Linked DNA regions of Oryctolagus cuniculus. The protein of the gene in region 2 purifies or fractionates together with the protein of the main gene of each other region. This does not show direct contact. Links are inferred from orthologs where the notes say so. Each region holds a gene or a part of one and is shown on either strand. Other genes may lie near its edges. The genes, in order: CTCF, TOP2A, TOP1 and ZNF451.

Region 1 (6,934 bases), on a different chromosome or scaffold from region 2:
AGTGTTTGAAATCAGCAAGACTGAGGCTCTCTAAAAAACACATTTTCAACGTGTGACAGTTCATGTGCAACAATCATTTTTTAGTTGGTTTTGTTTCACATTATTATTTGTTTTTGAAGATCCAAAGTTTAAATTACTGACCTAGTGAAAATTTCTGGCCCAGCATGTCAGGACTGCTGTGACCCACTCATAGTCACCCTCTGGCTCTGACAGGGGATTCGTAAAACGCAACATTCTGCTAAACATAGCAAAGAAAATGTCAATGGGAAATCATAACTGAAGGTTAATTGTACAAAGTTCAAATGCTGGCTCCATGGGCTGGAAATCATGATCTTCCATGTGGAGGCTCGTCACTAGCGGGCGGCAGGCTGGGTGCCGATCTGCTACATGATTGTGATCCAATTCCTTTAATAATTCCACACTACCAAGTCTGTGGCAACTTAATTTGCAAGTAATTAAAATGCTGGGTTTTCTCACACTGCACTTCTTTTCAACCTCTTAATTAATGGAAAAGATTAAAATGTAAAAAAAGTTATTTACAAGCTTGACCATACCAGAAACTCTGCCAAGAAAGAGGCAAAGCGTTCAGGACAGTAACCGATCGTAGCATGCCGTACTACTGGTGTGCAGCTGACTCGAGCAAGGAGTCAGAGAAAAAGCAAAAGCAAAAAACAGGTTAAAAGTCTAAGGCCTCCCCAAGTCTGCATTTACAATTAAAAACTCTCTTGGGAAGAAGACCAGAGAACTCTGGGAAACCCGGCAGCCATTCTGGAGTGGTTTACCGTATTGAGAGAGAGGGGCCAATGTCTCTGTTTCCGTCTCAGAAACCAGTCAGGCGTCAACACTGCCCTCAGCACTTCACAGTAAACCCGCAGGGACTCAGACATTCCATGATTTGTTAACATCAAACAGCAAGTTCTAGTTAAATCACATTTTTCTAACATCATCCTTGAAGTTTTCGTTCTCAGTTTGTTTGGTAAAATGGTGTAAAAATGATGCTTTTCCCAAAGCCAAAAGAAGAAAAAAGGGAAAAAAATTAAGATGTGGGCCGTTTAAACACAGCCCAGAGCAGTCCCGGCGCCCAGCAAGGCCCCACCATCACCGGTCCATCATGCTGAGGATCATCTCAGGCGTGAGGTCGCCGTTGGGGGCATCTGTGGCAGCTGGCTGGGCCTCCTCCTCCTCACCCTCCGTGGGTTCGGCGTCTGGCTCTTTTTTTACCTCCACTATAATGTTCTCAATTGCACCTGTATTCTGGTCTTCAACTTGGATGATGGCTGTTGCTGGCAAAGAGGAGCACAAAACAAAACAAAACAAAAGGTACATTAAAGCCCCCAGGAGTACAAGACCCTGTTACACAGTGCAGTCCACGGGATAGCAACATACAGGGAGCCTTAGTAGTGACACGGAGAAAGTCAATAAAGCAGAGACTTAGAGAGACCCAGAACATGGACACACAGAGTCCCAGTTCTCTGAAAACCATCAGAGCACAAAAGGCTGACATTCACGTTCACACGCCTCCCAAGTTACACGTAAAAATCCTTAGTTTTAAGTCAGAAATTGATACTATGAGATGCAGGCAAGAAATGAGACAGCATGTGACTAAGGCTACTTGAAGAGTGTGTGACGTAGGTGACACACCTACGACAAGCGGACATTTCTGATTCTGTAGTTCTCCCACACCCAGGCCCTCCCACCTGTCTGCTCACTCCAGTGTGTGCAGAAGAAACCGGAGAGCTGCTTCTAAGATCTGCACTTAACCTCCTTTTCTCTGACAGAACTCTATTCTTGGAGCTCAGGGAGAACATTCAAAAAATAATTAAGGGGCTGGTGCTGTGGCGCAGTAGGTTAACGCCCTGGCCTGAAGCACTGGCATCCCATATAGGCACCAGTTCGAGACCAAGCAGCTCCACTTCTGATCCAGCTCTCTGCTATGGCCTGGGAAAGCAGTAGAAGATGGCCCAAGTGCTTGGGCCCCTGCACCCACGTGGGAGACCCAGAAGAAGCTCCTGGCTCCTGGCTTCGGATCGGTGCAGCTCCTGCCATTGCGGCCAATTGGGGAGTGAAACATCGGATGGAAGACCCCTCTAACTCTTTCAAATAAATAAATACATCTTTAAAAAATAGATTAAAACATCCATTTGTTTATAAAAAATGGTCAGCTTTCAGAAGCTGTTCCAACTGTCAAGAGAGCCATGTGGCTAGCAGAATGCAACCTGTGATCCCCTATAGACTGCCGTCACCTGTGAGGTGAGCTGGAGGCCAGTGCCCGAACACACCTGGATTCACACGCCCCTCTGCAGGAGGGGCGATCCTAGCACAGAAACTGCGTGCACCTCATCCTCTGTGACTGGCTCTTTTACGGTTCAGCACTGGAGCAATTCTGCCAGCAGACTGTGACTGTGGTCTTCTAAAACCCACCCACAACAGCAACACCCACCTTGGAGAACACGAGTACCCTTTACTCTGGACTCTTCCTCCTTGAGATGTAACAGGCCTCTGAACTTCCTCAGTAAAAACACCTAACGAATCACTTCCTGAAGAATCTGTTCCCACTGTGACCTAATAACTTGTTCTCGTGGCTCCGTTCCCATCCCCTCAAAGAAACAAGGCCCCGTCTGGCACCCTCACATGCTGGGGGGAAGGTGCCAGCCTGCCAAATGGAAACTGGAAACTTACGCTGGTTCTGTTTGGGCTGGTTGGTTCTGCCAGGGGGCCGTCCTCTCCGCTTCTTGGCGGGTGGTGGGGCTGGGGTCACAGGCTGAGGCTCTGGCTCGGGTTCAATTTCTACAGCAGGTTCCTCCTCGTCCTCATTGTCATCCAGATCTGGCTCAGCGTTTTCTTCTCATGAAACAGGAAGCACAGATGGTAGGGCAGGGAGAAGAGTGGGGAACAACAACCACCACAAAATTATATACTCTGTGGAGTCTTGTTATGGGGGTACTTCAAAAAGTTCGTAAGTGAATGGAATTAAAAGATTTAAGTCTACTTTGGTACAAAAAATTCTGAAATCCACGCAATGTTTTGTCAAACAATTTCATGAACTTTTTAGGGACATGTTTTATGTATTTCTGTTAAGAAAAGACCATTTAAAAAGCTTTTGCTGGAAGTTTTGCTATAAACATTAAAGCAGTGAACTGATGGCCAGTGTTGTGGTACAGCAGATTAAGCTGGTGCCTACGACGCCAGCATCCCATATGAATGCAGGTTCAAGTCCTGGCCACCCCATTTCCAATCCAGCTCCCTGCTAATGTGTCTGGCAAAGCAGTGGACAATGGCCTGAGGTCCCTGGCTTCAGCCTGGCCCAGCCCCAGGCCACTGTAGTGGGAAGTAAACGAGTGATCCCTTTTAGATTTAGACCTCAGAATATGGAGTTTTAAATTGTTACAGGCAACCCAATCTTATATCAGTTACATAACTATACTACAAAAACCATGTTGAAATTAAAAATGAAACAAATGTCCCCTGTCTCCCACAGCAACATAAAACAGGACCCTGTTCCTCCTGAGCCTGAGGAACCCGTGCAGATGTGGTCCCCTCATCTGAGCAGGGGAAAGACTGTGTATCTGGGGGCAAGATAAAAAAATTTTTTTAAAGATTTATTTCATTTATTTGAAAGGCAGAGTTACAGAGCAAGAGATCTTCCATCTGCTGGTTTACTGCCCAAATGGCTACAATGGCTCAGGCTGGGGCAGGCAGAAGGCAGAAGCATCATCTGGGTCTCTCATGTAGGTGCAAGGGTTCAGGCACTTGGGCCATCTTCCACTTGCTTTCCCAGGTGCATTAGCAGAGAGCTGGATTGTAAGTTGAGCATCTGGGACTCAAACTGGCATCCATATGGGAAGCCAGCATTGCAGGCTATGGCTTATTTGGCTATGCCACAATGCTGGCCTCAGAAATTCTTTAATTTAAAAACATTTATTGGGGCCAGCGCTGTGGCACAGTGGGTTAAAGCCCTGGCCTGAAGTGCCAGCATCCCATATGGGCGCTGGTTCTAGGCCCTGCTGCTCCTCCTCTGATCCAGCTCTCTGCAATGGCCTGGGAAAGCAGTAGAAGATGGCCCAAGTCCTTGGGCCCCTGCACCCACGTGGGAGACCCAGAAGAAGCTCCTGGCTTCAGACTGGCGCAGCTCCTGCTGTTGCGGCCAACTGGGGAATGAACCAGCGGATGGAAGACCTCTCTCTGTCTCTACCTCTCTGTAACTCTTTCAAATTAATAAAATAAATATTTTTTAAAAAGTTTTATTTATTTGGAAAGCAAAGTGAAAGAGAGATAGAGGGATAGATATATAGATAGGTAGATCTTCCATCTGTTCATTCAACAGCCAGAGCTAGGTCAGGCTGGAACCAGGAGCCTAGGATTTCACTTGGGTCTCCCACAGGTAGGCACAGACTCAGGTACTCGAGACGCTATCTGCTGATTCCCAGGGTCTACATCAGCAGGAAGCTGGACAGGATCCAGAGCTGGAGCTGGAACCAGATTCTCCAATATGGGACGTGGGTGACCCCAGTGGTGTCTAATGGCTGTGCCAAACAGAAATTCTTGATGCATTGTGAGGACTTATTTACTAGATTGAGTGGCCAGAGTTCTTTGGGGGATTATTGGTAATTTTCTTTAAAGGCCACATATTCAAGACTTAATTTAATCCCCAGATGTACCAGACACAACAGGCCATTCTTATCTCCATTAGATTCTCCCTATACCCTACTCTTGGTGAAATAAATGGTAAATAAAAGTGAAGAAACTACTACAGGAAAAATACGGACAAGGAGCTACGTAAGAGACACATGACCACCCTGACACTCAGTTTCCTTGGGTAATTTCTGCAGCATCAACTTTTTTTTTTTTTTTTTTTAATTTGAAAGGCAGTTATGGAGGCAGAAAGAAACAAACACACATACACAGAGAGAGAAAGATCTTCCATTTGCTGATTCACTCACTCTCCAAATGGCTACAATGGCTGGGGCTGGGCCAGGCCAAAGCAGGAGCCTAGAGCTTCCTCAGGGTCTCCCGCAAGCCTCTTGGCCATCTGCAGAGACTGATCAGCAGTCTACTGCTGTGTTCACAGCCTTCTGCCAGAATCTCACCAAGTTAATAATAAGCAGAAGAAAGCACACAAAAGTTAACTGGTTTGAAGGCTTATTATTAACTTGGTGAGATTCTGGCAGAAGGCTGTGAACACAGCAGTAGACTGCTGATCAGTCTCTGCAGATGGCCAAGAGGCACAGCTTTGGGACAGGACAAATAAGATGGAGTGGCCCTTGTCAGCAGTGGGATCCAGTCCACACTTCCATTTTCTGGGGACATAAAGAGACACAAAGTCCTGAACCAAAGTATGTTCTTCTAAGCACACCTCCTGCCTGGATTTTTAGGCCCAGAAAGGCACGAAACACCCCCAAAAGCACCAATGGTAGGTGAATAGACAAGGTTTTAACTTACAAATGGGGAGACTGAAGTAGAAGTGAAAGCTTGACTTTCACTAACTTGATCAACACCATCTCAAGACCTGGCTGCCAAAGGCAGGCAAAGGAAAAGTTAAGAATCTTAAGCTCCCTTTTTCATGTCCTACATTAAATTCACTGCTCAAATCTAGACCAGCTTTGCAAATATAAAAGTCATGAGCATAGAAAACTCTGCTGATCTTAGAATATTGACCGGAGTAAACTGAATATTTATTAGTTTCACTTTGGGTTTAATTGAACATAGCATGTAAGACATCAATAAGCCCTGAAATGCGGTAAGGAAAAAACAAATGAAAATTTGTCCCCTCAAAATACTAACTGCTGTTGTATTGGGAAGAACAAAAGTTTAGAGGAAGTAAGTGTGATTTGTCCACCTCTACATGATGATGTAGCCATATGTAAATCTATTGGAAACTGGGCTTCACAATCAGTCAAATAAAATGGAACCAAATCAATTAATAAGTCACTTACCACTGTCAGAGGAATCTTCTTTTTTAGAGCGCATCTTTCTTTTTCTTCCACGTTTACTCTTCTTTGTTTCTCCTCCATTCTCCCCTTCTACACCATCTGGACCAGCACAATTATCAGCATGCCTTGCCATGGTATTCTACAAAAGGAACAAAATCCTCTTTCACACTACTAAAAAAGCTTAGATCAGACTGGAAGTTCTTTTTCAGTTAAATTTGGGGTATCATACTATTCCTGTCAGTTCTGAGAGAAACAGAAAAAGCAAGAGAGAGAGAATGGATGAAGATGAGGTTGGGTCCTGTAAGGGGAGACTCAGCAGCTTGTAGACAGACAGGACAGTGGGGCATGAGATCAGTTCCTGTCCTGGCAGGTGTGACTAATCACATGACCCCAGGGGCGGACACAAGGCACACTAAAGCTAGCTAGGGGTGAATGCGGGACAAGTTTCATGCACCTAAGGAAATGCCCTCATACCAGCACACCCATTATTCAGGACACTGCGTTTCCCATCTGTGAAGTGCCCACACATGGGCAGAAAGCCTCAAGACAAGAATGTCTGGCCCCAAATGGCCTCAACAGCTGGGGCTATGCCAGGGTGAAGTCAGGATCCTGCCACTCCACTGGGGTCTCCCACATGGGTGGCAGGTGCCCAAGCACTTGAGCTATTTTCCAATGCTTTCCCAGGCACATTAGCAGGGAGCTGGATCGGAAGTGAAGCAGTTGGAACTTGAACCCACACTTACATAGGACGCCAGCATGGCAGGTGCTGGCTTAATCTGCTGTACCACAATATTGGCCCTGAAACTCTTCTCTTACCCGACGTGTAAATGTTTTCCCACATTTAGAACAGACGAAGGCTGCAGGGACAAAGTTGGGGTCATGATAGCGTTTGAAGTGCATGTCGAGGAGCTGTTTCTGGCGGAAGGTCTTGTCGCAGTGGCTGCAAGCGTAAGGCTTCTCCCCAGTGTGGGTGCGCTTGTGCATGATCATGTGCCTCTCCTGAA
Region 2 (7,823 bases):
AGCAACCGGTGGAGGATTAGCCAAGTGAGTGCGGCGCCGGCCGGGGAGGGCATTTGACTCTGTAGTGAAGACACCACTTGGGACACTCACATCCCACACTGGAGTACCTGGGTTCAAGTCCTAGCTCCAGCTCTCCATTCCAGCTTCCTGCTGATGTTCACCCTGGGAAGCAGTTGGTGATGGCTCAAGTACTCAGGTGTCTGCTGCCCACATGGGAGATCTAGAATGAGTTTCTTGGCTCCTGGCTTCAGTGTGGCCCAGCCCTGGCTGTTGTGGACATTTAGGAAGGGAACCACTTCATTTCTGCGTCTCTGCCTTTCAAATAAATGCAAGCAAATTTTAAAAATTTTAAGGCCTTAAAAATTTAGAAACAACAAAGTCAGGGTTTAAGTGACCAGGAAGAAAACAGTCTCAACAAGCAAGTCTCAAAATATACTAACACAAGTGACTGATCATCAAAGGCTAATTTTATGATGGTAAATAAAAATATTTAATAGTTATATGTTCATTTTCATGTATAATTAAAGAAATCACACTGGCATTATAGCCCTCTTATTTCACAGATGTTATTGCTTAAGGCATGGCTAAAGTGAGTAATACTGAATATGATTTGAAGAAAAAAGTTTATACTCAGTGACTGGAATTCAGGAAATACTAGCAACTGTCCAGTCTTCCTGATAAGTGAATATTAGAGGGCCTAAAGTTGTAATCTATGTCAAATTAACTAACAAAAGGTGGTACTCCAAAACTCATACTCTAGCTGGTAACTCCCAGTATACCTTCAAGTGTAATAAATAGACTACAGAAGACATTGAAAGAGAAGTATTACAGAAAAAAGGAGCAAATACATCCTGGAGAACCATGGTTAAGAGAAATCAGCATTTGGTTGGGTGGTACTAAAACTTGCCTGGTCAAGTTTTAAAATAAAAACCAAAGGGTATAATTGAGATAGAGTCTTATCAGAAATAGAGGTTTTGTTCTCTTCTGATCTTACAAGTTATTAGAACTTGACCTCATGTGATTTGACTGCCCCCTTGTGGTAATTTCCATTTGTCAATGAATTAGGAAGACTTGTCTATTATATCAGGATATGCAAATATATACAAGACAATATAGCTTAATTTCCAGTTTTACTCTTTTGGCTTAGTGTAGTAAAAAAAATTTTTTTAAGATTTACGTATTTGAGATGCAGAGTTACAGACAGAGAGGTCTTCCATCTGCTGGTTCACTCCCCAAATGGCCACAACAGCTAGAGCTGAGCTGATCTGATCTGATCAGAAGCCAGGAGCCAAGAGCTTCATTTGGGTCTTCCACGTAGGTGGCAGGGACCCAAGCACTTGGGCCATCTTCTACTGCTTTCCCAGGCCATTAGCAGGGAGCTGGATCTGAAGTAGAGCAGCTGGGACTTGAACCGGCACCCATGTGGGATGCCGACACTGCAGGCAGAGATTTAACCTACTATGCCATGGCGCCAGCCAACGTAGTGAAATCTTGTCTGTTTTCTGAAATATTGCTGAAAACCATTATCTTCCGCTGTCATGGAAAAACTTTTTTTTCATTATCTTTGTTTATATTTTAATAGAAAATAAGCCTAAGAAAGAATTAATTAAAGTTCTGATTCAGAGAGGATATGATTCGGATCCTGTGAAGGCCTGGAAAGAAGCCCAGCAAAAGGTACTTTCTTGCTTAGCACTTGGTTTCATATATCATTAAAGACTTTGTATAATGTTTATGTTTTACCTTTCTTATTAAACCTACCTTTTGATTCATACTTTAGGTCCCAGATGAAGAAGAAAATGAAGAGAGTGACACTGAAAAGGAAACTGAAAAAAGTGACTCTGTAACAGATTCTGGGCCAACCTTCAACTACCTGCTTGATATGCCCCTTTGGTATCTAACCAAGGAAAAGAAAGATGAGCTGTGCAGACAAAGAAACGAAAAAGTAAGTTGTTGATAGGACATGGATGTTGCATATTACTTAATTTTGCTCTAATATTAAGACTAAAGCTTGTGTGCTGCATGAAAATCTATTTTTGTACATATATATTAACTCAGTTTCCTGATTATTTATAAAGGAGCAAGAGCTGGAAACATTAAAGAGAAAGGGCCCATCAGATTTGTGGAAAGAAGACCTGGCTGCTTTTATTGAAGAACTGGAGGTATGTGGTTTATAATGCCCATGTTAAAATGTTTATTAATGAAATCATGTAGTCTAATAATATACTCCCTTAACAAGAAGTTACACAGTTAGCAATAGAAAGAATATAAAGGATATAAGGACACATTATAAATAATATATAAGAGAACAAATTATTAAATAAAGTCAATGTGCTGGGAACCCGGTTTTTAGACAGAGAGAGGAAAGGACGGAGTTGGTTTTTGATAAAGGGAAGGATCTGCTGCAGCTAAGAAGAGCAAGACAGCAGGAACGTGGGGACAAGCTGCGGCCTCCTGGTCAGCGTGAGGACAAGGCCAGCTCGTCTTCTGGGCTCACCAGGTAGACAGCCTCATAAGATCCTTTGCTACAGTTTTATAAACTTAATGCACATGTTTATGCATAAGCTTTAGTGTAAATAACCAAATCATTGTAGTCAGTGGACTGGATAAGTGCATATTACTGATATCACATCCTTTCTTATATTTGCATTTACAGATACATGTATATGTTCTATCCTTAACTCAGTTTCCCCCTTTTACCCTCAGAAAGGTTGAGTGGCAGAATCAGGAAAATAATCCAATCTGTCCCTACACTTTTCAAAGTGACCATTAATCATATCTTTACTACTGTGGTATGGGTTTTTTGGTATAGAGAGAGTTACCCTGTTCTCTGGTTCATTCCCCAAATGCCTACAAGGGCTAGGGTTGGGCCAGGCTGGAGCCAAGAACTGGAAGCACAGCCCAGCTCTCCCACACAGGTGGCAGGGATCCAACTAGCTGAGCCATCAGCAGGCCTTTCTGCACTAGCAGCAAGCTGCAGTCAGGAACCAAACCTAGGCATGCGTGGTGTGGGGCGTGGGCTCTTTACCACCGGGCTGAATGCCTGCTTCTTATCTCCACTGTGCTTGATGTTATTCTTAGTTGTTAAACAGATTACCACAAATTTATCTTAAGATATAACAAATTGAGGCCGGCGCCGTGGCTCTGTAGGTTAATCCTCCGCCTAGCGGCGCCAGCACCCCAGGTTCTAGTCCTGGTCGGGGCACCGGATTCTGTCCCGGTTGCCCCTCTTCCAGGCCAGCTCTCTGCTGTGGCCCAGGAGTGCAGTGGAGGATGGCCCAGGTGCTTGGGCCCTGCACCCCATGGGAGACCAGGAGAAGCACCTGGCTCCTGCCTTCAGATCAGCGCGGTGTGCCGGCCGCAGCAGCCGTTGGAAGGTGAACCAACAGCAAAGGAAGACCTTTCTCTCTGTCTCTCTCTCTCTCACTGTCCACTCTGCCTGTCAAAAAAAAAAAAAAAAAAAAAAAAAAAGATACAACAAATTGAAATCAGTATAACCTGATACCTTTTAGATAATTGTGATGTCTTAGCTTATAATCTTACTTATATCCCTTTGGTAGGCTGTTGAAGCCAAGGAAAAACAAGATGAGCAAGTAGGACTTCCTGGGAAAGGGGGGAAAGCAAAAGGGAAAAAAACACAAATGGCTGAAGTTTTGCCTTCTCCACGGGGAAAAAGAGTCATTCCTCGAGTGACCACGGAGATGAAGGCAGAAGCAGAAAAGAAAATCAAAAGGAAAATTAAGGTAAACTCTTGAATGTTAAATATAAACTAAGTATATTTTTGCTTAAAGTTGAACAAATTATATTATTAAATTTCTAACCCCCATCGTTTAGAATTTACTATACATCTAAACCATAACTTTCCTTTCTTATTGTGCCTGGTTGTTGTTTATAAGAACCAACTCTGTGTGTGTGTGTGTGTGTGTGTGTGTGTTTAATTTGTTTATTTATTTATTTATTTGAGAGTCAGAGTTACACAGAGAGAAAAGGAGAGGCAGAGAGAGAGAGGTCTTCCATCCGCAGGTTCACTCCCCAGTTGGCTTCAACGGCTGGAGCTTCGTCGATCCGAAGCCAGGAGCCAGGATCTTCTTCCAGGTCTCCCACATGGGTGCAGGGGCCCAAGCACTTGGGCCATCTTCTATTGCTTTCCCAGGCCATCGCAGAGAGCTGGATCAGAAGTGGAGCAGCTGGACTCAAACCGGCACCCATATGGAATGCCAGCACTGCAGTGGTGGCTTTACCCAATACACCACAGCACTGGCCCCCCAACTGTTTTTGTTTCTTTTTTTTTTTTTTTTAAAGATTGATTTGTTTATTTGAAAGGCAAAGTTACAGAGAGAAAGAGAGAGAGATTCCATCGGTTGGTTCACTCCCCAGATGGCCATAAGTCAGGAGCCTGGAACTCCATCCAGGTCTCCCACATGTGGTAGGGAATGAATACTTGGGCCATCTTCCACTGCCTTCCCAGGCACGTTACCTAGGAACTGGATTGGAAGCAGTTCACATGGCATACCAGCGTCCCAAGTAAGCAGTTTAACTCCTTGCACCACAACACTGGTCCCCTGTATTTTATTTTTAATTTATTTGAAAGATAAGGAGAGACAGAGACAGAGATCTTCCATCCATTGGTTCACTCCCCAAATGCCCACAATGGCTGGGGCCAAGCCAGAAGCTGGGAGTCCAAAACTCAAGTCTCCCACATGGGTGGACAGGAACCCAACTACTTGAGCCATCACTTGCTACCTCCCAAGGTACACATTAATTAGCAGGAAGCTGGATCAAAAGTGGAGGAGCTAGGACTCAAACCAGGCACTCCCAATATGCAATCAAGGTGTCCCAAGCAGCATCTTAAACAAAACACTGCCCCATGATTGCTTTTATTTTCATGTTTAAGAATCATGAAAAACTCACACCTATACATTTATTCAGAGCTTTTAACCAAAACCCAAGGTAAACAATAGCCTTTGGTCAAATAAAGGAGCTCCAAAAACTAGAAAATGGAATTTAAAATATTGCAAATCAGGGGCCAGTACTGTGGCATAGCAGGTAAAGCCACTGCCTGAAGTGCTGGCATCCCATATGGATGCCAGTTTGAGTCCCAGCTGCTCTACTTCCGATCCAGCTTCCTGCTATGGCCTGGGAAAGCAGTAGAAGATGGCCCAAGTCTTTGGGCCCCTGCACCCTCGTGGGAGACACAGAAGAAGCTCCTAGCTCCTGGGTTCAGATCGGCACAGCTCCAGCCGTTATGGCCATTTGGGGAGTGAACCAGCAGATGGCAAAGCTCTCTCTCTCTCTCTGCCTCTGCCTCTCTGTAACTCTGCCTTTCAAAAAATAAAAATAAAGTCTTTTAAAAAAATATTGCAAAATTTCCATGGACCTATGTGAAGCTCCTCTGCAAATATATATATATATGTATTTGATATATAGTATTCTAAATAATAAGGTGACAGAACTTAACTGGTTTTTACTATCTTAGAGTGAAAATACTGAAGGAAGCCCTAAGGAAGATGGTACAGAACTAGAAGACTTAAAACAAAGATTAGAGAAGAAACAGAAAAGAGAACCAGGTATAATAAATAACATTTAGGGAAAATGGTATAAAGTTAAGATTAAATTGTGTTTGTTGTCTAGTAAATGCACATAAATGTTCAAAATGCTTTTGTTGAGTTGAATTACTAACTTGAAGGAAAGCTATGTCTGACGTATACTTGAATTTTCCTTATATATTGACCTTTGGATTTGATTCATATTAGAAGAGATCATTTTGGAATGAAATAGTTTAACATTGTAATTTGAATTCCTTAGTTGGGAATCTAAGAAAACAATGATATGCCACTTACTGGCCAATTTCAAGATTCTAGTATATAAATCTTTGAGAAGAAAGATTCACATACCAATTTCACCCATTTTAGGTGTACCACTCACTTTTTTTTAGCAGAGCCAAAGAATTTCATAACAACTTATTACCCTAAAAAGAAGCACTGTATCCATTAACAGTACTCATTATTTCCCAAAACACCCTCTCCCACTAAGCAACCATTAAAAAAAAATCTGACTCTAGATATACCTATTCTGGATGTTTTCTAGAAACAAAATCAGATGATACGTGGTCTTTTGTGACTGACTTCACTCAGTTGACAAGTTTACAAGGGTCATCCATGTGTTAACATATATCAGTTTTTTTGTTTAGTTTTGTTTTTTAAGGTACAGAGAGAGAGCTCCCGTTCATTAGTTGACTCCATCACTACCCAGGGCTGCTGTTAGGAGCTGAGAACTCCGTCTCAGTCTCCCACTAGGTGACAAGAAGTACCTGTCTGCACTATCGCCACTACCTCCCTGGGTCCACAGTGGCCTAAAGCCTACCATTCTTTCTTTTTTGATTGCCAAATAGTATCTGGCAACATTTGGGACTAGAGGTATTTCATATTCCAGAGTTTTTCATATTTTGGAATATTTGCAGGTTTTTTTGCTTAAGTATCTATTATCTGAAATGCTCCAAAACCTAATTTTTTTAGGTTTTTCCTACCCTTTTTTGACCAATATTTTACTTTTTTTATTAGAAGTGTGTGTGTGTGTTTGTGTTTTAAAGATTTATTTATTTGTTGGAAAGGCAGACTTACAGAGAGGCAGAAGTAGAGAGAGAGAGGTCTGAGAGACAGTAGGAGAATTAGACAGATAAATACTACCCAAATGCCTGCAAGGGCCAGGACCAAAGCCGGGAGCCAGAAATTCAAAGGCCTCCCATGTGCCTGGCAGAGTTTACGTGAACCATCACCATTGCCTCTCAGGCTATACTGACTGGCAAGAAGCTAGAGTTAGGAGTTGCAGCCAGGATTAGAACCCACATATTCTGTTACAGTATGTGGGCATCTTAACTGCTTGGCTAAAGAAACACCTAGTCCTAGAAACCTGAAATTTTTGAGTGTGTTCAGAAACCTTCAGATTCTCAAGCATTTTAAATTTCAATTTTTTAAAAAAGATTTATTTATTTGAAAGGGTATCAGAAAGAGGCAGAGACAGAAAGATCTTCCATCTGTTATTTGTTGGTTCACTTCCCAAATAGCTATGGCTGAGCCAAGCCAAAGCCAAGATCCAAGGACTCCATCCAGGTCTCCCATGAGGGTACAGGGGTCCAAATATGGACCATCCTCCACTGCTTTCCCAGGCATGTTAGCAGGAAGCTGGATCAGAAGCAGAACAGCCGGGACCCCAACATGGGATTCAGCACTGGAGGTTGCAGCTTAATCCACTGTGCCATGATGCTGGTCCCTAAATTTCAAATTTGCAGATTAGAGGTCATCAACATTAATTACTTATCTGTCCATCAGTTAATGGGTATTTGGGTTGCTTCCACTTTTCTGGCTACTGCGAGTAATGATACTTTGAATATTCATATACAGGTATATGTGTGGATTTCTGTTTTCTTTGGGTAGATACTTAGAATTTTTGAATTACATGATTATTCTGTTTGGACTTTTGAGGAACTGTTGGATGGACTGTTTCCCAGAGCAGCTGTGCCATTTCACATTCCCCCAGCAGTATCTGACTTTCCAGTTCCTTCCTGTCCTCACCAGCACTTGTGGTCATCTTTCTCTTTGATCTTAGTCATTCTAGTGGGTGGAAAGTATGGTTTGGATTTGCATTCCCATAATTGCTGATGATTTTGAAAATGTTTATTTGCTTATCTTTTTGCGGAAATATTTACTCAGATCCTTTAATTGGGTTATTTGTCTTGTTTTTCTTGTTGAGTTGTAAGAGCTACATTCTAGATACCAGGTATGATTTGGAAATATTTTTTTGTTAAAGTCCAATTTGCCTGTTTTTTG
Region 3 (6,693 bases), on a different chromosome or scaffold from region 2:
CTAAACTTAAATAGAAAGTTCTTGCTGTCATTCATAACACATTTGCCTCAGATTTTGACTCTGTCTTGAGTGCAATAACTACCGGTAAAATCTTGGGGAAGACACATTATGTATGTTCTTTTGGCATATAAATTCTTAAAGGTATAAGGACAGAAATCATCATGGGCAGAGAGGGCTTACAGATTCTAAGGATGACTTTCCTTTTCCTCCCCCCCCACCCCCGCCCTCTTTTTTTAAGATTTTATTTATTTATTTGAGAGATAGAGTTACAGATAGAGGGGGAGACAGAGAGAAGGGTCTTCCATCCACTGGTTCACTCCCCACATAGCCGCAACAGCCATAGCTGGGGAGCTTCTTCCGGGTCTCCCACATGAGTGCAGGGGTCCAAGCACTTGGGCCATCTTCCATTGCTTTCCCAGGCTATAGCAGAGAGCTGGATTGGAAGTGGAGCAGCCGGGACTAGAACTGGCACGCATATGGGATGCCAGCACTGTAGGCAGAGGATTAACCTACTGTGCCACAGTGCTGGCCCCAACATATAAACTCTTCATTCTTCTTTTCTTTACAGCGGATGAGAACATCCCAGCAAAGATCCTTTCTTACAACCGTGCCAATAGAGCTGTTGCAATTCTTTGTAACCATCAGAGGGCACCACCCAAAACTTTTGAGAAGTCTATGATGAACTTGCAATCTAAGGTATTTTGGATATGGGGTATTAAAGTGAATGAACCTTGTCTGCTGTCGGCAAACCATCTGCAAATCAGAATTTTTTTTTTAATAGTCTATCCTTTTATGATGCAATATTATCAGGCCAGTTCTGTTCTGAAAGAAAGGTCCATGCTAAAAATAAACAGGTGGAAATATTATAATGGTTATTATCCCTGTCAGGATTCCAAATATCAGGATACCTGTTGTTCAGGAAATCTGATCTATGGATAGAAATTCCACATTGGCCACGTGTTGTTTTCAAAAGCTAACTTTGATGTACCCTCTAATTGCTAATTGTTGCATGAGGAAAATAGTTATAAAGAATTTTCATAGTTCTTGCCACAGCTCAGAAATACAACTATTTCCAAACTAGATTGTTTCAAATAGAAAAGATGATGAAACAATGATATTTAAGTTCTCAGTAGTCCTAGCACAACTATTTTTATTGTTACACGTTCTACATGAATCATATTTTTATTTATAGTTCATCATCAAACATCTGTTGAATACTGGCTGTGTGCCAGACAGAGTTGCTGCCTTAGAGGGAGAGACTGACGTGCAAACAAGGAGATGCTGTTCCTCTTCCGTGTGCCTTTCTCCTCCCTACAACTCTGCCTGGTACTGAGCTTTTAAGCCACTAGGCACTTAACATTTGATAATGAGCATTTCTGTCTTTGCAATAGCTGCATAACTAACCCATCCTAGTTTGCTAACTCACAGTGAGCATTTACAGATATTTCACTGTAGAATAAACACACAGGGTTCCAGAGGAAACCAATTATATCAAATACAGTTACTAAATGTATGTAAAGTCTTGGTTCTGAGTACTGTAAATTTCAAGGTAGTAATGAATATAAATATTAATTCAGGATTTTTGTAACAGTTGTGATATGAAAATATGACATTTATTGGTGGTAATAACAGGTACTACTGATATTATTATAGTTCATTGCCCACATTAATATTTAAGAAGAAATACTAAATTTCAACTAGAGGTTAAGGAAATTACAGTGTGTGTTTTTTTGGTTTTTTTTTGAGCCAAGTTTGTGAAATTTAAAAACTGGTTTTATGGAATGTGACTTGTACATTTTCAGGCTCAGAGTATATTCCTTCTATTTATTTCTCAAAGATAAGTATCCAGAAGTAGTACATCTGGGTCAAAAAACAGATACAGCCTATTTATGCTACAGATGCCATCTGGCTGTCCCAAAGGGCTGTACATGTCCATGATGAAGGAATATACGTGACTAAAAATCCTTGAACCATGTTGGTGGGCAGGGAACTTTATATAGACTGTCCATCCTAGTAGCACCCATTTGCTGCCACTCCATTAGCTGGTGGTCATCTAGTATTGTTTATTCTTTTCATGTTATTCCAAACCAAAAATAAAAACATAAATATTCAAGTGCTATTTACCTAATTCAGGAGACCCTCCCTGGAGCATGAGGAGGCCTTTTGTTGCTCTCATTCTGAAACCACTGTTTGGGCAGCCCAGGCTGCCTGCCAGACGAGCCCTCCAAGCCCAGGAACTCCTGTCCTATGTGCCCACAAAGCAAACACACGCCCCTGTTCTCCAAGTGAATCAATGGATTCTTTGACGCTTTGAGAGAATTTGACACAGCCTGCCAATTTAGCATTCACATAAATGGTTAAAAGATTGTGGTTTGCTGCATTTCTAGCCTGAGAAAAATCTGGCTTGTGGCATCTGTGATGCTTTTGTATTTAGAATCTATTCCCTCAGCTTGGCTTTGGACAACATAGATGTTGGAAGCGAGCCATTCATAGTAAAACATATTTAATGATTCTCTCACAATGATGGCCTCTGTTTTTAGTCATGAGCTGTGTGTGTTTGTGTGTGTGTGTGTCTAATAAACAATTCTAGACTCTGAGCAGTAGGCCAGTGTGTGTGAATCAAGCATGTATTTATTTTCTCTGTGGAGGTTCTGTTGACCTCACAGGTCAGCAAGGTGACTGCAGCTCTGGGGTTCTCCTGTCCCTAGCAGTTTGAGGCCACTGGTTTGGACTCTAGCTTCATGGCATTACCTGCTGTGGTTTCTAAACAAAAACCAAGAACTTAAATTCCAGAAATGCTTCAAGGATTCCAAAAAGCAAGAAAGACTCAAACAACTCTTATCTCTTCCTTTCCACCATATTTGATTTGAGGAAGAAGTGTCAAAAGTTAAATATTTTCATACCTCTTACTTTTGAGTTATAACTTCCCTCCCATCTCATCTCCTTTTCAAAACAGTGCCAGAACCAGGCCATGCTTGTATTGATTTGGGATAGACTGGCCGAGCTGCTTATTTCCTGTGTACCTTTTAATTGCCATATTTTTAGCTTCTTGGATATTCTCTTCAGTGCATTGTTTTTTCTTGAGAAGATGGCAGCTCTGTTGCAGAGTGCTGGTAGAAGCTGAATAGTGAAGTGCTCTTATTATTTGCAAGGATTATGCCTCAGCTTCTTCAAAAATAGCTCCTCCTTGTAGTGAAGCCCAGAAATTGGCACAGGACCCATTTGATAACAGCTGTCATCTCTAGCCCTTCTTATGATGCTCTGTCATTGAAAGATTAGCATCCAAAAATCCTGGTCCCACCAGGCTCTCTTCCTGAGCTTCTGGACTGATGAGGTCCCAGGTTATCAGTTCTCAATCAAGCCCTTTTTCTTGAAGGTTCCCTGGAGAAAATACATGAATAATAAACAGCCACTTAACTCAGCAGTCACTGTGTATTTCCTCTGTACTTTCATGAAGCCACTCTGGGTGTTTTTACCTGGCAAACCACCGAGAAAAAAAGAGCGAGCCTGCCTGCTGGAGATTGCTTCCAGGTTTCATCTTCTGTGATGGAGCCCTTCCCTTTTTCCTTTTTGGCTCACTTCACTCCTAACCTTACTGTGTTCTTCTCTACTCAGATTGATGCCAAGAAGGAACAGCTAGCAGATGCTCGGAGAGACCTAAAAAGCGCAAAGGCTGATGCCAAGGTCATGAAGGATGCTAAGACCAAGAAGTATGTACCTGGTACTGTGCAAAGTTGGGAGGGTTTATTATTAATCAGAGGTCTAGCCCCTCTAGGGACTTCTGGAATTTTCTGTGATTGGATCTTTTGTGGTTTTACTGCCCTGAAATGGCAGTGTATGTGTGTTTCTGTCCAGGAGCCAGGCCTTGTTCTTGATGACTCTGTTTGATTTTTCCAGGGTGGTAGAGTCAAAGAAGAAAGCTGTGCAAAGATTGGAGGAGCAGCTGATGAAGCTGGAAGTCCAGGCTACAGACCGAGAGGAGAATAAACAAATAGCCTTGGGAACCTCCAAACTCAATTATCTGGACCCTAGGATCACAGTGGCTTGGTAAGCATTGTGCATGTCTTGCTCTTCTGCTGACTGAAGATGGCGGAGGGGGTTCTGAGAGCATTGTGGGCTGCCACATGCCATTCTAAGCAACACACTTGTCCTCTGGGGAAACTTCTAACTTCTGCCGTGTACTTGGTGCTCTGGCTGCTAAATCTTGTCTAAATAACATTGGAACATCTTGGATGGTCAATACTGTTAGACCCACTTTGAGTGTATTTATTTTCTATTTTTCTAAGGTGGCTATCATCCTTATGAAATTTTTGGACAGGAATGGAAACTATTAATTTATTTCCTTGAAAGAGTTAGAGAGAGGCAGAGAAAGAGATCTTCCATCTTCTGGTTCATTCCCCAAATGGCTGCAACAGCTGGGGCTGGGCTGACCCGAAGCCAGGAGCCTGGAGCTTTTCTGGGTCTCCCACACGGGTGCTGGGGCCCAAGAACTTGGACCATCTTCTGATGCTTTCCCAGTCCATAACAGAGAGCTGGACTAGAAGTGGAGCAGCCAGAACTTGAACCAGGTCCCATATGGGATGGCAGCACTGCAGGCGGAGACTTTACCCACTGTGCCACAGCGCTGGCTCCAGGAATGGAAATCATTTGCCCTTACTGAAGGAAAAAATAGAAGAGCTTGTCCATCTACACTTTCATAACTTTTCAATGTAATCTTTGCAAGTTGAGGAAGAATGGCAGGAAAAAGTATAGAAATGAGAATACAGATCTGAACAACCTACACAAAAAGGTATAGCAAAGGCTTAAGTTCTCTGTGCCTGCACTCACACCTGTTCTAGGCCAGAGGTTCCACCCAGATTTTTTACCCTTTTTGCTTAGTTTGATGTTACAGGAGAGGTTTAGTTAGCTCTTAAGAGGCAGTATCTATGGTACAGTGGTAAAGAGCCATGCTGGGTTCAAATTTTAGCTCCACTACTTACTAGCTGTGGCACATCTGAACCTATACTTCAAGTCTCGGCCATTGCTCTCTGAATCACACTAATTCCCCTTCTCCTTTGTTTGCAGGTGCAAGAAGTGGGGCATCCCAATTGAGAAAATTTACAATAAAACCCAGCGGGAGAAATTTGCCTGGGCCATCGACATGGCTGATGAGGACTACGAGTTTTAGCCAGTCTGAAAGGGCAGGGTTCTGTGAAAAGGAACAGTGTGGTTTGGGGAAGATGGAAAAACTGTGAGCCTCACTTGCCCTCACACTTGAGGGAGAGAGGCAGCAAGTCTTAACAAACCATCTTTGCGAAAAGATAAACCTGGAGATATTATAAGGGAGAGCTGAGCCAGTTGTCCTATGGACAACTTATTTAAAAAATATTTCAGATATCAAAATTCTAGCTGTATGATTTGTTTTGAATTTTGTTTTTATTTTCAAGAGGGCAAGTGGATGGGAATTTGTCAGCAATCTGCCAGACAAATTCACTGTTTCACTGAAATGTTTGGATTCTCTTAGCTACTGTATGCGAAGTCCGATTATATTGGTGCGTTTTTACAGTTAGGGTTTTGCAATAACTTCTATATTTTAATAGAAATGAATTCCTAAACTCCCTTCCCTCTCCCCTGTTTCAGGAATTAAAATTAAGTAGAACAAAAACCCAGCGCACCTGTTAGAGTTGTCACTCTCTATTGTCATGGGAATCAGTTTTCATTAAACTTGAAGCCGTCGTGACATCGGCAGTGTTTTGGTTCAGACACCTATTCACAGAAAAGCATGATGGGAAAATATTTCCTGACTTGAGTGTTCCTTTTTAAATGTGAATTTTTATTTCTTTTTAATTATTTTAAAATATTTAAACCTTTTTCTTGATCTTAAAGATCGTGTAGATTGGGTTGGGGAGGGATGAAGGGCGAGTGAGTCTAAGGATAATGAAATAATCAGTGACTGAAACCATTTTCCCATCATCCTTTGTTCTGAGCATTCTCTGTACCCTTTAAGATGTCCCATCTTTTTGTTTTTAAACCCCAGTCTTTCACTTGAAAGATTTTATGGTATAAAAAGTTCCACAGGTCAGTAAATTTAGAGGAAAATGAGTATTTGGTCCAAAAAAAAGGAAAAATAATCAAGATTTTAGGGCTTTTATTTTTTTCTTTTGTAATTGTGTAAAAAATGGGAAAAAACATAAAAAGCAGAATTTTAATGTGAAGACATTTTTTGCTATAATCATTAGTTTTAGAGGCATTGTTAGTTTAGCGTGTGTGCAGAGTCCATTTCCCACATCTTTCCTCAAGTATCTTCTATTTTTATCATGAATTCCCTTTTAATCAACTGTAGGTTATTTAAAATAAATTCCTACAACTTAACGGAAATTTAGTGTCTGCCTCTTTGTTACCAAGGGCCCCAGACCAGAATTAGGGCCCTGGGACTGCGACTTAGTCTGGAATTTTTTTTTATTACTGAGGTCAGCAAAGTGGGAGCAGATGGGGTCTGGCCTAGAAGGGGGTATATCCCTCCTGCGATGGATATGAGGTGAAGGGGATCCAGACTCCACAGCTCTAGATAAGACAGGCAGGCCTAGAAATTAAGGGAGGTACAGAAAATCCGCAAGAACTATCTAAAAGTCTGGTGTGGGCAATGTTTATTGGCAGGATAGAACAGGTGTTGTTGAGTTAATTTTCAGAGAGCTTAAAGAAGCTTCTCTGAGC
Region 4 (7,823 bases), on a different chromosome or scaffold from region 2:
CTTCATTTTAACTATTTGTTACATGAAAAAAAAAAGTAGAGGCTAAGAATCACATTTATTTTCTATAGTGGTAATAATAAGATAGCTACTATTTGTTGAGTACCTAAACATGCTTTTACAACCTTATAGACATGAAAATGAAGCTCAGAAAAAGTCAAGTAACTTGCCTGTAACCGCACAACTAAGAAGCAGCAAAGTTAGCATTTGACAAAAGACCATGCCTTTCTTTATGCACTCTGGGATCTCTGCATTTCACAAAAATCCAGCATAAACTATATAGTGCCTCAAAAGGGCAATAAGTTCACATGAGTACTGGATGTGAATGATTTATTAAGTTCATATGAGTACTGAATGTGGATGATTTAAACACATACATACATACACACACACACACACACACACACACACACCCCTATAGCATAAGGGACAGTCAGAAAGGCTGATCAGCAGATATTAATAACCTGTATCTTAATCATAAACCCTAATATATTCATGTACACATACTCATATGCAGCTCTTCTTACAAACAGAATTTAAATAGAGACAAAGCAAGCCATAATAGGTTTCACACTGTAACTTATAAATGAAATGTTCCCCAAAACAGTAGCATAAAAGAAGGAAAAGAATATTAGACTAGTATGATAAAAGTAAACATTTAAGTATTTCATAAGATATTAAATAGATGTTGCCAAGGTTTGGGGAAGGAATGGCAAAAGAGTGAGGTGGGGGAAAGCTTTTTAAGTAAGTTCAAAATAAAAAGTAGATGAAAAATTACAGAATTAGAAGGTAACATTCATTATTAAAATATAAGTATTATATAAGGCTCATTTTCCTTTATAATCTTGCACATTCCTTTAAAGAATCCAGTTGGGCTAACAGATCTTTGACTCCTAATTTCAAGATAATCAATCCATTATAAGTGATTAGAGCAAAATTTTTCATAATGGGCCTTCCATCAAAATATGGTGCCAAATATACAGAAAGAAAAAATAGCGTGGAGGGAAGCAGAGTTGGAAAAGTGAAAGGCAAACAATAAAAATGACAAAAAGTAGCCACTATTTTTCATTGTGGTCATTCATCAATTTCTTCCATTCTTATTTATTTGTGGTTTCAAATACTAATAATTCAAAAATTAACTATTCTTATATTCTCTTATGCTCAAATTCCTTTGAGAAATTATGAAAAACAAAAACTTATGAATCCCTAGAATTATATCCTTTCTTCAGTACTGGTCAGTGAAACTGGTCATCAGCATTCTTTTCATGGACCCATTCCACAAAAGAGGAAAAGAGAGTGCCAGTCCCAGCAATGTAATAAGACAGGAGCTACTCATCCCTTCCAAGAACCTAAAAGCCTATCAGAACTTTACTTTCTCACTATCAACCTCTTAAATGGTCTTTCTCTTTTCTTGGTATTGCTATATTATGACTTATTACTTTTTGGTTTTCACCTAAAAGACTTTGCTTTCTAAAAAACTAATGGAATTTCAGGAAAAAAATAAAATCTGAATTGTAATATATATTTCAACCCATCAATATCTATTTTATATACCAATAAATATAATTTTATCTAATAGCTTAAAAAAATCTCCAAAACATTATTGTGCATTAAAAGCTTTCCTCTAAAACACTAAAGAATGAAAGCGAGATAAGGAAAAGACCAGTAAGATAGAAGCATGTGAGCAGGCAACTGTTTACTAGTGGACAGCAGTTTATTGGTTTTTCTCAGCAGTGAAGTCTCCTCCTCTTGGGCGGTTTGCACTGTGACTGCGGCTGCATACCTTTGGTGGTATCAGATATGCTATTTAACAAGGCACACATCATATCTCCCTCTAAGTGGTGAGGGTTTAGTATATGAGCTGGCCTCTGAGTCTTCTTAAATTGATTCTCTAGTTCCAGAAAACCTTGATCTCCTGAGAGGATGGTGAAAGGAATTTGCTTGGGTAGTTGTTCATCTAGACGGCCAGCCTAAGTTGGAACAAATGGCATAGATTGATAAAAATCAGCATGAGTCTCAAATCGCTTAAATCTATTTCATAGTGAACACATACCTAAGAAGGCAAATTAAGCTAGTTCCCTACCTCCCACAGAGTTTGATATAAAGACCCCTTCATTAATGAAATGTCACATTTAATTACATATAAGCATCCAATAGTTATAAAATAAACTACTTTATCTGCCACTAATAAAAAAAGAAAAACCTAAAATAGAACTCCCATAGGAGGGCTCCCACATTAAACTGGAAAGCCATAGTAAGTGTAACTAAGAAATAAATCTGCCATAGAGGAAAAAGTAAGCAAAATATTTTGCATACTTCAATCTTGGTACTGGATAAGATGGAAAGAAATCTCTTGCAATTTAAATCATAAGCAGCAGTCAACAAGTCTGCAGAGTAAATTCACATTAACAGTGTGACAAATGTAAGCTCTCAAGCAGAGAGTTTAATTTAAAGTACGTCTTGGGTTGGCAGTTTCTCTATGTGACTGGCAGACAGAAATAAACATCAACATTAGCAGTGACTGTGAAAGTATCTCTAAATTTCAGAGATGTTAAATTAAAACTGTCTCAGTACACGTTCAGCACAGATTATCTTTTATTTACTCCTAACACAGATGACAGTCTATTATGCACAGTGGAAGGTCAGTGGAAGGTCTGCTAGGAGTTGGGGACAAAGCAGCCAAAAAAAATATGCGGGGCTTGTGCAGCAGCGTAGCGGGTAGCACCAGCATCCCGTACAGGCACCAGTTTGAGTCCCAGCTGCTCCACTTCCAATCCTGCTCCCTGTTAATGCACCTGGGAAAACAGCAGAAGACACCTCAAGCCCCTGCAGCCACATAGGGGACCCAGAGGAGGCTCCTGGTTCCTGGCTTCAGATTAGCCCAGCTCCAGCTGTTGTGGCCATTTGGAGCCTGAACCAGCAGATGGAAGATTTATCTGTCTCTCCCTTTCTGTAATGCTTTCAAATAAATAAAATCTTTAAAAAAAAAAAAAAAAAAGGAAAAATGCCATGGGCTCCTGTTCTCACTAGTAGAATACTGATACAGAATGTTTTATTACAAAAATATACTACTAAAGAATGATCTACACATTGTCATTACAATTCAAGTGGGAAAAAAATTTAAGGAGGTCATCTTAGATTCCCATTAGATTTTGAATAAAATAATGACTCACATGCATACATATGGCAAAATCAGCAGCATCTTTTCTTTTACTACAGCGAGGATGAAGGAAGAAGCATCCAATTCTGTTCAGGTAATTATAAATTTTACAGTTGAGTGGAGGCTTCCAATTGGTGTTTCCTCCTGTAAGTTTTAGAAAAGGCATAAGTGACAGTAAAACAGGAAGAAAAGACTAAAACTAGTATCAAATGAAAACTTAAACTAAAAAAATATCTTTCTAGAGGGAAAGTACTAGATAAAAATGTAGGAGAGGCTGGCGCTGCGGCTCAATAGGCTAATCCGCCTGCAGCACTAGCACCCCGGGTTCTAGTCCCAGTCGGGGTGTGGGATTCTGTCTCGGCTGCCCCTCTTCCAGTTCAACTCTCCGCTGTGGCCCGGGAGTGCAGTGGAGGATGGCCCAAGTTTTTGGGCCCTGCACCTGCATGGGAGACCAGGAGAAGCACCTGGCTCCTGGCTTCAGATCAGCGCGGTGCACCGGCCGCAGCGGCCATTGGAGGGTGAACCAACGGAAAAGGAAGACCTTTCTCTCTGTCTCTCTCTCTCACTGTCCACTCTGTCAAACAAAAAAAAAAAAAAGAAGAAGAAGAAGAATTCAGTCTTAGCAGAGAAATCATCATCCTGGGAAAGATCAACTTCCCTGAATCTGCCTTCTCATCTGAAAATTCATGGGGATACAAAACAGAATCAAAAGGAATGAGTGTGAGAGTGTATGTGTATTTCTGTGTGTGTGCAAGCAGGTACACATGTGTGTGTGAAAATTCTTGAACAACCATTAACATTTTGTTATTTTATGCCAAGGCTGTTCTGTCAATAAAAACACAGGAAATCAGCAGAGCTAGACTTAAAACATTATAATGGCTATCTTATCTAGATTAGTATGTTTCTATCTTTAATTCCAATCCTCCTCTTTACATGCTACTGCCTATCACACATGAACTATATCAGATACTCACATACTAAACCTCTGTAAATCAATGGTTTGTAAAAAGATTTGGATTAGATGAAGCTGCACACTACAAACAGCAAGAATGAACTGTGGAAGCAGTTGTGGCATGTTGAAAATACTAATGGTCCTGTAGCTAAGAAGCCAAAGTTTTAAATCTAACACTGTCATTTACTTTCTTCTACTTTAAAAGACAAAAAATGATAATTGATATCCACGTTAGTACCAAGCAACAGTGCTGGAATACTATAGGTATATTTTTAAAAACAATTTTTTATTCATCTATTTGTTTATTTGAAAAACAGCTAAAGAGAAAGAAGGAGAAGACAAGATCTTCCATCTGCTAGTTCACTCCCCAAACGGCTACAGTGGCACAAATGAGCCAAGATGAAGTCAGGGGCCTGGAACTCCATCTAGGTCTCCCACGTGGGTGACAGGAGCCCAAGTACTTGGGCCATCATCTGCTGCTTTTCCAGGCACATTAGTAGGGAGGTGAATTAGATACCGAGCAGCAGGGACTCATAAGTGTGGCAGGCAGCAGCTTAAACTGTTCCAAAGCCAGCCCCAGTGTAGGTGTTGAATAAACCCTTTTATAATATATATCTTAAGATCTGCAAACCATTGGTCAACAAAAATAGAGCTAATGTTAACTATGGAGACATGTAGAGAATATGCTAGGAAAGTAACTACATTGCAAAGTCACAATATTCTATTTATGGTCTTATGATCTATTCAGGAAAGTTCAAGAGGAGTCTTTTAAAGTTAATCATACTGTAAGGGTGATAGGGGAAAAGGCTTTTCTTATTAATCATACCTTGAAAGCCCCAAATAAATGTTCCTTGGTTAAGATGCCCTGGTAGATGACCAAAGAAGTTTGACCAGTTATCAAAATCTACAAAGACAATATGAGTCATGGTTCGCAAGTAATCCAAATCTGGAAGCTCAACAATTTCTTCTTCTGAGAAAAAGGAAACATTAACATGAATTCAGTAAAAGTTTGGTATAAACATTCTAATTCTCAAATCTAAAAAATATTAGCATAACAGGCAAAAACTATTAACCTTACAAGTGATTCATCTCAATTTAAACCTTTTCATTTTACCTGTATCTGTATAGACATAGTTTTCACTTAGATAATGTTGAAAGCACTTCAGAATTTTGATTATATATCTTTTCTACAAATATCTGCCATTGATGCTAAAGCTTTTAAGTAGTCATTTGTAAAAGAAAATTTTTTTTAAATTAATGTACTCTAGGAACTAGAAGATCTATTTTTAAAGTTAAATAACCAAAAACTTGTATCATTCATCAATGTAAAATTCCAGGGTTACTTGCTAAGAAACTTCTTGCCACCGGAATTTTTTTTTTCCCAATCTATACTGATTTATTAATCTAGACTGACTCTATGATTAAACACCCAAGAGAGCAGAAATAAGAAAACCTACAACATTGTTGCCATAAAGTGGTGCTAGAAATAGGTGCCAGTGGCACATTAACATCTCCCACCATAAACATATCTTGGTTCTCTCAGGATCTCAGTTCATCTTCCCTCATTCTCCAACTCTTTCTCCCTCCTCTTTGCCTTGCTTCATACTTTTAGACCTTGACATGGCCTTAAAAGTTTCCAGCCACAGTAGTGCAAACTTTAAAAAGATTAAGTTATTTTTAAAAAGAATAGATTCTATTATGCCTAATAGAGGTTCCTTCAAATATACTCTCTCATTTCTAAGCTACCTTACATCCTTTCTCCCAGTTCTCAGCAATTATAGATTTAGAGATTCCAAAATCTCTGTCAAACAGATTAACACAAATTCCCAAAAGTACTCAAAAGAGCTGAAAAATGCATTAGAGAATATAAAATGGTGTGACCACTGTTTGGAGTGGGTCATATATGACTTAATTCTTTCTCACTGAAAACATACTTTAATTAAAGGTGATGCTGAGATCAGATATGCTAATGAGCAAAGTTACATAAATTCAATGGTTCATTGTATAACTCACTGAATTAAAAGTTACTTAAAGGATACAGACCTAAAATTATAGTCTAAACAAAAAACAGTTATCTTCTAAACAAAATTAAAACATTACACTCTTCTAGACTTATTAACCTATGACATGGAAGAAGGAAAATCAGATTAAGTACAAGAGAATTCAAATCTGTTTTACCCATGATTTCTTACTACTACTTTTAACTCTACTTTTAATTGTTATTTTTAACTATATTGTTAAAAGCTTTGCTTCCAAATAAATCATAACAGAAATATATACAAATGCCAAAACTGTTTTTGTCATATTTAAAGATAAGGACAATAGAAACAAAAAGAATTCATCAGGTTATCTTTTTAATATATCTAAATATTTGCAAGATTTTTAAATATATCTGAACAATGTAAGATTTTTAGAAAAATCTAAGTGATGATAATGACCAGAATAACTTTCAAATCTGACTTTCAGTAAGATTATCAACTTCCTTCATCTCTCAAAATCTCCTTTTGTAAAAGAAAATATCTATAATACATTACTTAAACACAACATATACTATGTTTAGAAAGTGAAGTAGTAAGACTATGTACCCCTAAAAAGTATATACCGCAGAATAATTAACTGACTAAAATATCATCCTCTCACGTATCTGGCTTCACAACTGAATCATCAGCAGTCTCAAAAATGATGGGTCCACTGCATGTACTTTTATATATTAGAAAGTGAAATTTCTAGAGTTGTAAAGCCATACCTATATTCTGACAGCTTAGGTCATTATCAGTTCCTTTCTCCATGTCTGAATTTTTAGGATGGCTTACTGCCTGTTTCAATTTTCGCTCCATACGTGAGGCAGCGGCAGTAAACTTATACAGGTTTGCTTTTTCAGATCCAAAATGAGACACATTGGGTTTCTTTAAGAAGCAATGTTTTCTATGGAAGTGCTGCTGAGCACTCTCAGGATCATGAAATGCTTTGGTGCAGGTGCCACATTTGATCATGTACTGCTGTTCCTCCCCATCGTCATTCTTTTCTTTCCCATGCACTTGATGGATATGAGCATTCATGTTGGCTAAATTCTGTGCCGTTGCTGAACACGAACTGCAGCGAAACCACAGTTTACCTTTGTCCAGCATCATCTGGAGACATCTACTATAATCTTTTCTTCTGTTGACTTTACAGATGTAACTCTCATGACAACCACAGGTTAACAGGTTGCTGGTCTCTACTACTGGAAAATCTTCCTCAGTTTTAATCGAAGTTTCAATTTTTTCTGACACAAACACATAATCTATGCTGTGACGCTCTTTATAGTGATTCAAAAACGCTTCCTCCACATTAAAGACAAGATCACAAAGCCCACAGAAGTATTTAAGCTTTATATCATTGTCATGTTCATCTTGGCAATGTCGGTATAATGTTTCTACCTTATGAAAAGTCTTTCCGCAATGGGCACAGCTGTATCTATGAAACTGGTGACTTGACAAAGACATGCAATGCTGTTTTACACATTCTTGGGAATCAAACATATCTTCACAAATTCGGCATTGCCATTTGCCCCTTGGAGGACTGTTTGATGGGGAATGATCAATAATAGTAATAGCTGAAGAAGGCTTGCTTTCAGTCAAATGATTCACTAGTGTGACAGAGGATGATGGCAAAGTTTCGTCTTCCATCTCATCCACCTCATAAAAGTATCTGTGTCCATTATGAAATTCAGTC

The links.
Region 1: the proteins of TOP2A (region 2) and CTCF purify together in Homo sapiens (affinity purification with mass spectrometry; 3 studies listed by BioGRID and IntAct, with this or other methods). This does not show direct contact. The link is inferred for Oryctolagus cuniculus from reciprocal best matches to the Homo sapiens genes TOP2A and CTCF.
Region 3: the proteins of TOP2A (region 2) and TOP1 purify together in Homo sapiens (co-immunoprecipitation; 4 studies listed by BioGRID and IntAct, with this or other methods). This does not show direct contact. The link is inferred for Oryctolagus cuniculus from reciprocal best matches to the Homo sapiens genes TOP2A and TOP1.
Region 4: the proteins of TOP2A (region 2) and ZNF451 purify together in Homo sapiens (affinity purification with mass spectrometry; 3 studies listed by BioGRID and IntAct, with this or other methods). This does not show direct contact. The link is inferred for Oryctolagus cuniculus from reciprocal best matches to the Homo sapiens genes TOP2A and ZNF451.

The regions. Positions count from the first base shown.
Region 1 is NC_091449.1:50,876,989-50,883,922, reverse strand, and holds part of CTCF (transcriptional repressor CTCF), read right to left. Parts: intron 6,930-6,934; coding exon 6,747-6,929; intron 6,070-6,746; coding exon 5,934-6,069; intron 2,845-5,933; coding exon 2,680-2,844; intron 1,284-2,679; coding exon 1,099-1,283; 3' UTR 1-1,098.
Region 2 is NC_091448.1:22,088,790-22,096,612, forward strand, and holds part of TOP2A (DNA topoisomerase 2-alpha), read left to right. Parts: intron 1-1,582; coding exon 1,583-1,674; intron 1,675-1,777; coding exon 1,778-1,942; intron 1,943-2,075; coding exon 2,076-2,159; intron 2,160-3,557; coding exon 3,558-3,740; intron 3,741-5,473; coding exon 5,474-5,564; intron 5,565-7,823. UniProt on the Homo sapiens protein: Key decatenating enzyme that alters DNA topology by binding to two double-stranded DNA molecules, generating a double-stranded break in one of the strands, passing the intact strand through the broken strand, and religating the broken strand.
Region 3 is NC_091442.1:17,811,543-17,818,235, reverse strand, and holds the end of TOP1 (DNA topoisomerase 1), read left to right. Parts: intron 1-568; coding exon 569-696; intron 697-3,615; coding exon 3,616-3,710; intron 3,711-3,897; coding exon 3,898-4,047; intron 4,048-5,064; coding exon 5,065-5,167; 3' UTR 5,168-6,357; downstream 6,358-6,693. UniProt on the Homo sapiens protein: Releases the supercoiling and torsional tension of DNA introduced during the DNA replication and transcription by transiently cleaving and rejoining one strand of the DNA duplex.
Region 4 is NC_091436.1:112,426,142-112,433,964, forward strand, and holds part of ZNF451 (E3 SUMO-protein ligase ZNF451), read right to left. Parts: coding exon 6,856-7,823; intron 5,080-6,855; coding exon 4,936-5,079; intron 3,302-4,935; coding exon 3,171-3,301; intron 1,968-3,170; coding exon 1,781-1,967; intron 1-1,780. UniProt on the Homo sapiens protein: E3 SUMO-protein ligase; has a preference for SUMO2 and SUMO3 and facilitates UBE2I/UBC9-mediated sumoylation of target proteins. Plays a role in protein SUMO2 modification in response to stress caused by DNA damage and by proteasome inhibitors (in vitro).